Caenorhabditis elegans: one gene and its partner. The protein of the gene in region 1 interacts with the protein of each later gene in a pairwise test. Each region holds a gene or a part of one and is shown on either strand. Other genes may lie near its edges.

Region 1 (3,579 bases):
CAATCATATCTCCATGCTTTTCCCATTTCTTTGGCAAATCTCTCTGCATTTCATCGTCCCACAACGACTTGCTCAATGCTAACTTTCTGACCTTAAAACTGAGAATTTAAATCCACATCACATGCTACTACAATCTTACATCTTCGAGCATCTGGCCGAAGTTTGATGCTTTTGCCAGGACACCATCACTCGTCTTCCGTCGTAAACTGGACGTTCTCTCCATTGAGGTTAAAAGAAGAACGAAGTCCGGCTGATTGGTGGGTAATAATAGAATTGATCTGTGTGAAGATAAATGAATGATATATTGTGATGGGTCGAGGAGAAAAAATACGTAAGTGGCGATAGACATATAGTGAAAGCGCAAGACAATCTTAAAACAATATTCAAGACAATAAAGAGATACACGATTTTAATATGAAATACTGTGAAGCAGTCTTTCTTCAAGAAACGAAGTTGTCTAAAATTCTAAAATATCATGAGAAAACAAAGAAATTAAGCTAACTTCTCTGATTCAATCTACTCCTGAAAAACTCTAAGATCAATCAGCAGACCCTACATGTGAATGAATCAGTGATGTTCATTCAGCCCATTTTCGTTGAATGGTTTCAAAATGGGCGGAAATTCCGTTTTCTGTGGATTTTTAAAAATTATTTCCCACTTTTGTAATGTTTCAGGATTTTGGACGATTTTGAGTATTTTATACCAATTTCATTTTTAAAGTTGACATTTACAGAATGTTCAAAATGTTATGGTTTACCATACGCCGTTTTCGATTTTATGGAAAAAAAGGAGCTTTTATAGCCAGATTATAAAACAACTATGGAAACTGACAAAACTTCAACAAAAGAACACTAATCCTAAAAATACAATGAGGAGAAATCTGAGATTCAAGAAGTATCCGGAACATTTTTTGGATAGAAAGGAACGGATCAGAACAAAACAGTGAAACCGAATCCCCATCATGGTGTTCTCTATAACATCGTTTTTTTTGAGGCGCGAAAAGCTTAGCGTGAAGAAAAAACATGGTTCTCTCCCTCTTTCTTGTGGGAGGTAGTGAGACATCTTTCGTCAACTTCTCCCGGGAGCTCAATCTCCTCCCCGTCGGGATGTGGCAAACAATAGAAAGAATAGAAATCGAGGAGATCACAGACAACTATTTCCAAGTGTCTCATTTTGTTGCCGAAGGGATGGACCTTAGGATTCATCTGCGTCTCTTCGAGTGACCACAGTCTATTAGATAAAGCGCACTCGTTATCAGTGGGCAAAAACACTTGATGGATATTTAAAAATATATTAAAAAATTTGAATTTGGAAGCAGATAAATATTACCAGTTGTGTTTAAATACATTGCTGGCGTCTTTATTGGTGTTTTAACGATATTCTCAAACACGAAGTTATTGCCAATAGTTTCACAATGGAACAAACTTCAATTCCTAAGAATATGATAATCGAAATTCTAAAACATTATTTTAAAATCCGAGAATAGAGTAATGAGTTAGCACGAACAGTGTTACAACTTCTTTCATCAGTTTAATTGGTTTTATGAGTGCTATCAGCGAAAAAATATAACACGGTGTGCAGGGTTTTTGGTATTATGTCAAATTTGTCCAATTTGTAAAAAATATTGGCCGTACAAGTTCTTAACGCCATTCTAGAATTGTGGAAAATTTAAAAGTGTCCTCATTTTGAAAAACTACTAAAGTACAGTAGACGCACTACATTACGGAATTTCCGTAACTTTCCAGAACAACTCATTGAAAAAAATCTTCATGGAATTTAAATTTGGCACGATTTTATCAAATATTCATAAGTTCACGTTTCCACATATTATTTTTTGCAACGAATTTTCCAATTATTGTAATTCAACGTAAAGTTGTTGCTAAACAATTTATTTCTCAATTCGCTAGAAAAAATGGAAAAAGGTGCACCGCAAAACAATGCTGACGAGGAGGCAAAAGTAGAAGTTCCACCTCCAGCTCCGAAAACCGTAAGTTGTCCAGATCGAAACATTTTGTAAAAATGCATTTAGACATCCGCCGAGAGAGCTCCTGAGAAAGTTTCAGCCGAAAAAGCTCAGGAACAAGAGAAATCCGCTATGGGCTCAGTGCCGATTCCGCCAGAAAGAGAGAAACATATTAAAGAAAGAAAGACCGGATACGAGTATTCAATTGTTACAATCAACTACAAGCCTGGAACGAAGTTTGGATTGGGAATCAAGAACGTCTTCAACAAGAGTATCTATGTGATTAAAGTTGAAGAGAGTAAGTTATGTAGTATTAAAATAAATAACTTGAGACAAGAAGTGAAGAAGGAGAAACAGCTACTTAAAAACAAAAAAAAAGAGAACAATAGTTTGATTGCAGATTCACTTGTCAGTGGAATATTCAACGTGGCTGATCGTATCATTGATGTTGATGGGGAACCAGTGTATGACAATGCAAAATGCAAAGGACTTCTTGTCAAAGCATTGAAAGAGAAGAAAGTTTGCACGTTGTTGATTGAACGAGGAATCACTGAGAGTGCATTGAAGGATGCTACTGTTAGGTTTTAAGAACATTTGGATAATTTATTTAAATATATTCAGAACGAGATGAATGAAGAGCACACTCAATCTGTCATGGCCCCACCTGATGTGAAGAGTATCATGCGTAAGCTTGAAGCTCACAATTTCCTTCGTAAATCTCCATCTTGTGAAAGTGCGGCTGCTCCAAATCCAGTTCCCAGTGCAATGACGAAAAATAAAGAAGGCAAAGGAGAGAGAAAGGCGTGTATTTTGGAAGATGGTCACAAATCTGTCATGATTCGTATGGATAACGAGGAGAATCGAAACAAGCTCAAGGTATTCTGAAATTTTTAAGCACATTTTGAAAGAGTTTTTTTTTTCAGAAAGTGGAACCCAAAGAGCCACCGAGAAGACTTGATCCTAAGACTCCACCGAAACCAGCGGCACCTGAACCAAAACCGGAAGGAAAATAATATATTGAACTTCAATGCCTTACTTTAGAATGAATAAATGGTTCAATGACATGTGTTTGCTTTTAAGTCTTTAGTATTTGGAAATATGTTCTGAAATTATGATAAAGCCATTCTAAAGGTTTTATATAAGTTTGAAAAATTTGATTCAAATGTTTAATTAGTTTTTGATCACTTGTATTATTTCCTTCAAGTTAACCAGGAAGTAAGTTTTAAAATCAGAAGCATCCGTTCTCGTGATCACAAAAATCGTTTTTATTACTGGAAAGACAATGATTCTCAAAGGACATTGTCTAGTCAAACTATGCTAATATATATTTTGGATCTGTCTGTACCCCAATTCAGTTCGGACGTTTATTTCTGGAAACAATGGTTTACCAACTGACTTGCACCGTTATTTCTTTGTTTCTCAATTCAATTCTCATATGTCTGATCTGGAACAAGTCACCCGCGCAAACAGGAAAATATCGATGGCTCATGATGTACACTGCATGCTTTGAAATATTTTGGGGAATATACGATTTGCCTGCAGAAATTGTGAGTTTAAATTACATCAACAATTTTCCAATGTTTTACTAACAAGAAAACCGCAAGTTTTTCAAATGT
Region 2 (4,323 bases), 4.7 Mb from region 1:
CGGTATTTTATATTTTCTTTTACTCTCTGATCTATATTATAATTGCAATTTTACAGCGTCCACGACAGCGAATTGTTGCTCAACAGCCACAATCTCCATTTAATCGTCAAAATGTGTTCATTTCAAGAAGACGTGGACAGAGTAACAGTTTTGCTGCTCAGCGGCAAAATGTATTCCAGCAGCCACAGCCGGCTTTCGGTGGCGGACGTATGTTTCTAGATCTAGGATATTGTCGAATCTTTTTGAATCTTCAGAATGCGCTGATCGTGATCCTCAAGGAAGATGCAGTCAGTGGCGTCAGTTCTGTGCTTCACCATCCCATCAGCAATACTTAACGGCGTTCTGCGCAAGAACATGCGGACTGTGTCGTCGTCATTGAATTCGTTTCTTGAAGCATATTGTTTCCTAGGGTCTCTCAACATTTTGCTCACTATTACTAAAGATCCGCTAGGCTTTTCCAAACACACTACGAGTTTCTGAAATTTCTGTATGACAGACAAAAATAATAAATCATTTTTTAAAGGAAACTTCTTCTAATAATTCACTTACACATACTACCGGAGAAATTAAACGATTAACTGGGAAACATGCCATGAAAAATGAGAAAAATAAAAGCGAAAATGGCTGTAGTGAAGAAAGAAAGAAATAATAAAATTATGACCTAGTTATACGCTATCACTTCGAGACTTTACGGAGTAAATTCGGGGGTCAAAATGGGTAGAGGAAGATGGTGAGATGAATTGGGAAACAATGAAAAAGCCATCGTTTAGAGAAGCATCGTGTGTGGCTTCTCGAGGAACTCCTTGAAGTGACGAAGCCAGACGGCTCCAACAGCTCCATCAACAGTCCTGTGATCGCATGACAATGTTACCTTCATAGTCTTAATCTTCTTATATCTGAAATACAAAAACTATATAACTCGATAAATTTCCTAAAAACTCTTACCCTTCAGCCTCGTCTGGGACCAGCTTATCAGATGCTCCTCCGATAGCCAAAATGCATGATTGTGGTGGGTTGATGATCGCGGTGAAATCAGATACAGATCCGAACATTCCGAGGTTCGAGACGGTGAAAGTACCTCCTTGGAACTCATGAGGCTGCAATTTTCCTTCGCGTGCTCTTTGCGCCAATTCTACAATTTCTGAGGCAATCGTGGCGAGTCCCTTAGCGTGAGCATTGAAGATAATTGGAGTAATAAGACCGGCTGGGGTGCTGACAGCTACAGAAACATCGACGTGATGATTCTCACGAATGAACGAGTCCATCCAATAGCTGTTGGCTTCTGGAACTCGTTGACATGCAAGAGCAGAAGCTTTGATGATAAAGTCATTGATTGAGATCTTAGTGGCTTGTCCCGATGTTCCCTTTGCAAGAAGACCGTTGAGCTTTTCACGAACCCTGAATAAGGGTAATTTTTGGAAAGGAAGACTCGGGTTTATTGTTTTAATAATTTAAGAAAACTCACTGAAGAAGTGTATCCAATTGAATTTCGCTGGTCAAATAATAATGTGGAATCGTTGATTTGCTTTCGGTGAGTCTCTTAGCAATTGTCTTACGCATGTTCGAAAGTGGAATATCGGTATAATCTTGACCAGATACGGCTTGAGTTGTGGTTGAAGTAGCGCCCTTTGCTGGAGCCTGGGAAAGATCCGAAGCGAGAATACGTCCTCCTGGTCCACTTCCAGAAACTCCGCTCAAGTCAAGGCCATTTTCAGCAGCAAGTTTCTTAGCGAACGGTGAAGCAGAAACTCTTCCCGATGATGAGTGTGGAATTGGTGCGGACTTTGGAACTGATGGTGCTTGATACATTTGTGCTGGGGGAGATGGTTGCGATGAAGCGGCTGGTTTTGCTGGCTCTGGAGCTTTCTCGGCTGCTGGAGCGGATCCACCAGATGAAGCACCATCGTCCTTGAAATCCTTGAAGGCAGCAACGTCAGCCTCGTTGTCGACGATAATACAGAGAAGCTTGCCAATTGGAACATCCTTCGATCCTTCCTGGATGAGAATCTTGGCAAGATATCCTTCTTCCGGAGTTTCGAATCCCATAGTGGCCTTATCGGTTTCAATCTCGCAGAGCAAATCTCCTTCACTAAGTTGATCTCCTTCTTTTTTCTGCCAGCTTACAACAGTTCCGAGTTCCATAGTTGGAGAAAGTGCTGGGAGAGCTACCCGATTGTGCTTTGGCAGATTTCCTGAAAAAAGGAATTAGTGGACAACCAGTTGGAAAATATAAATAGGAAAAAAGTCTCACCACTGCTATAAAGGCGAACTTGTTTAATACTGAAAGCTGCAGCATTTGGATATTGGCGAGCTACTTGTCCAACAAGTCCTGAGCTTTTGGCGGCAGCTCCGGTGCTGAGGGCCCGACTCGATTGTGTGAAACCGATGTTGGCGGCAGAAATAGCTGCTGTTGTCGAGGGACGAAGCCCACCAATCGTTCTCAACGGCACCGGGAACTTCGACATTACCTGAATATTTTTCAGTTTAAACAAAATTATACTTGTAAGAAAACGTAGAAATAAGATATTTAATACACATTTGCAAACAACAATAAAGAATATAAAATTGTAAAGTTATTAAATTTTAAATGGAATGAAAAGCTAATTTACAAGAAAACTTTATCATCTTTCTGCATACTCGCCTGATTTTCGTAGAGTTTTTGTTGCAATAACTGATTAAAAACTTTATCACAGACTGATAAAACGTCAGAATTCCTGATCAGAAAAGAGTGTTCAGAAAAATGAGAAAAGAAAAAATTAGACGGGGACAACGACACTCCGTTTTAAACACGCGCGCCTTGTTTATCACACCGATTTTTTTTTATTTTCGCGACGAAAAAAAATGTTTTTGATAGGTTTTCCCAAGAGAAGTGTGTTTTCTAATGTGTTCTTTTTGTAAAAATTGTATTTTATAACAGAGATGACATCTTCGATCCCATTCCGTTCGTTCAACGAGAAATATGAGTGTAACGACGATGATAATTTCACCTACTCAAGCACTGAACAGGTTTGTAACCCCGCCATGTAATTATCATGTACGATTATGAGTATTTCAGAAACGTATTGAAACAATGCTTTTCGAAAACTACAATTCACTGGTGTTAGAACCATTCAAGACCACAAGCGACGAAGATCTCGCCGAATTGACGATTTTCCGTCAGAAACATGCCTCGTATTTGCTCAGATATCTCAAAAACTGCCCGTCGAGCTACGCAGTAAGTTTGATTTGTGAGAAGTGGTTTTTAACATTACAATTTTTAGACCTTAGACGCTAGTCGTTCATGGATGTGCTACTGGGGAGTTAATGCACTTAAAATTTTGGACGCAGAAATTCCAAACGATGTTATCGAAAACATTATTGTTTTTCTTAAATCTTGTGAACATCCAGAAGGTGGCTATGGTGGAGGACCAGGACAATTGGCTCATTTGGCTCCAACGTATGCCGCTGTCATGTGCCTAGTGTCTCTACAAAAAGAAGAAGCTCTACGATCTATCAACAGAGTCACACTGTTCAATTTTTTGAAGAAGTGCAAGCATGAGAGCGGAGGATTTTATATGCACGAGGGAGGAGAGGTAATAATTTATTAATGAATATCTCTGGCAATGGTTCAAAAGCTCTAAATGTACTGAAACTCCTGCATAGACTTGATGAAGTCCTACTCAGAGTGAAACTTCTACGTACTCTTGCATAGAACTTTAGGATCCTTGCTGCACACTCTACGAATTGCCTCTAGTGTTGTTTTTTTTGCCAGAGATATCATAAAAATTCTGAGCTATCGAAAATTGAACATTTCCAGATCGATATGAGAAGCGCCTACTGTGCACTAGCAACATGCGAGATTGTGGGCCTACCTATGGATGAGATATCAAATGGTGTGGCCGAATGGATTATCAGCTGCCAGAGCTTTGAAGGTGGTTTCGGAGGAGAACCGTATACAGAGGCACACGGAGGATACACTTTCTGCGCGGTCGCCTCGTTGGTTCTGTTAAACAGGTCAGTTATTGTTATCTTTGAAAATGAGAAGAGACAGACCATCACGTGAACACCACATGTTCTTTCTTATAAAATCATATCAATTAAGTTAGTTCAGAATTTGAAATAAGATCATTGATCCTGATGATTTCCAGATTCCGTCTTGCTGATATGGAAGGTCTCCTTCGTTGGGCCACGCGCCGGCAGATGCGATTTGAGGGTGGTTTCCAGGGAAGAACAAATAAACTTGTTGATGGATGCTACAGCTTCTGGCAAGGTGCCATCTTCCCACTTTTGGACGGAGAAATGGAACGAGAAGGCCGATCATTGGAGAAAGGTCTTTTCGAGGCG

Evidence for each region.
Region 2: the proteins of F40F9.3 (region 1) and dlat-1 interact in a two-hybrid assay, tested with the Caenorhabditis elegans proteins (one large-scale study listed by BioGRID).

The regions. Positions count from the first base shown.
Region 1 is NC_003283.11:9,713,355-9,716,933, forward strand, and holds F40F9.3 (PDZ domain-containing protein), read left to right. Parts: upstream 1-1,854; 5' UTR 1,855-1,912; coding exon 1,913-1,987; intron 1,988-2,029; coding exon 2,030-2,261; intron 2,262-2,363; coding exon 2,364-2,539; intron 2,540-2,584; coding exon 2,585-2,839; intron 2,840-2,886; coding exon 2,887-2,976; 3' UTR 2,977-3,027; downstream 3,028-3,579. Other genes in the region: F40F9.10 (tRNA(Phe) (4-demethylwyosine(37)-C(7)) aminocarboxypropyltransferase), read right to left, coding at 1-91, 140-223; str-188 (Seven TM Receptor), read left to right, coding at 3,343-3,510.
Region 2 is NC_003283.11:14,444,823-14,449,145, forward strand, and holds dlat-1 (Dihydrolipoyllysine-residue acetyltransferase component of pyruvate dehydrogenase complex, mitochondrial), read right to left. Parts: upstream 2,469-4,323; 5' UTR 2,466-2,468; coding exon 2,252-2,465; intron 2,193-2,251; coding exon 1,466-2,192; intron 1,399-1,465; coding exon 946-1,398; intron 897-945; coding exon 767-896; 3' UTR 501-766; downstream 1-500. Other genes in the region: F23B12.4 (ShKT domain-containing protein), read left to right, coding at 1-2, 57-207, 255-379; fntb-1 (Protein farnesyltransferase subunit beta), read left to right, coding at 2,920-3,006, 3,056-3,214, 3,261-3,572, 3,797-3,993, 4,128-4,323. UniProt on the Caenorhabditis elegans protein: The pyruvate dehydrogenase complex catalyzes the overall conversion of pyruvate to acetyl-CoA and CO(2).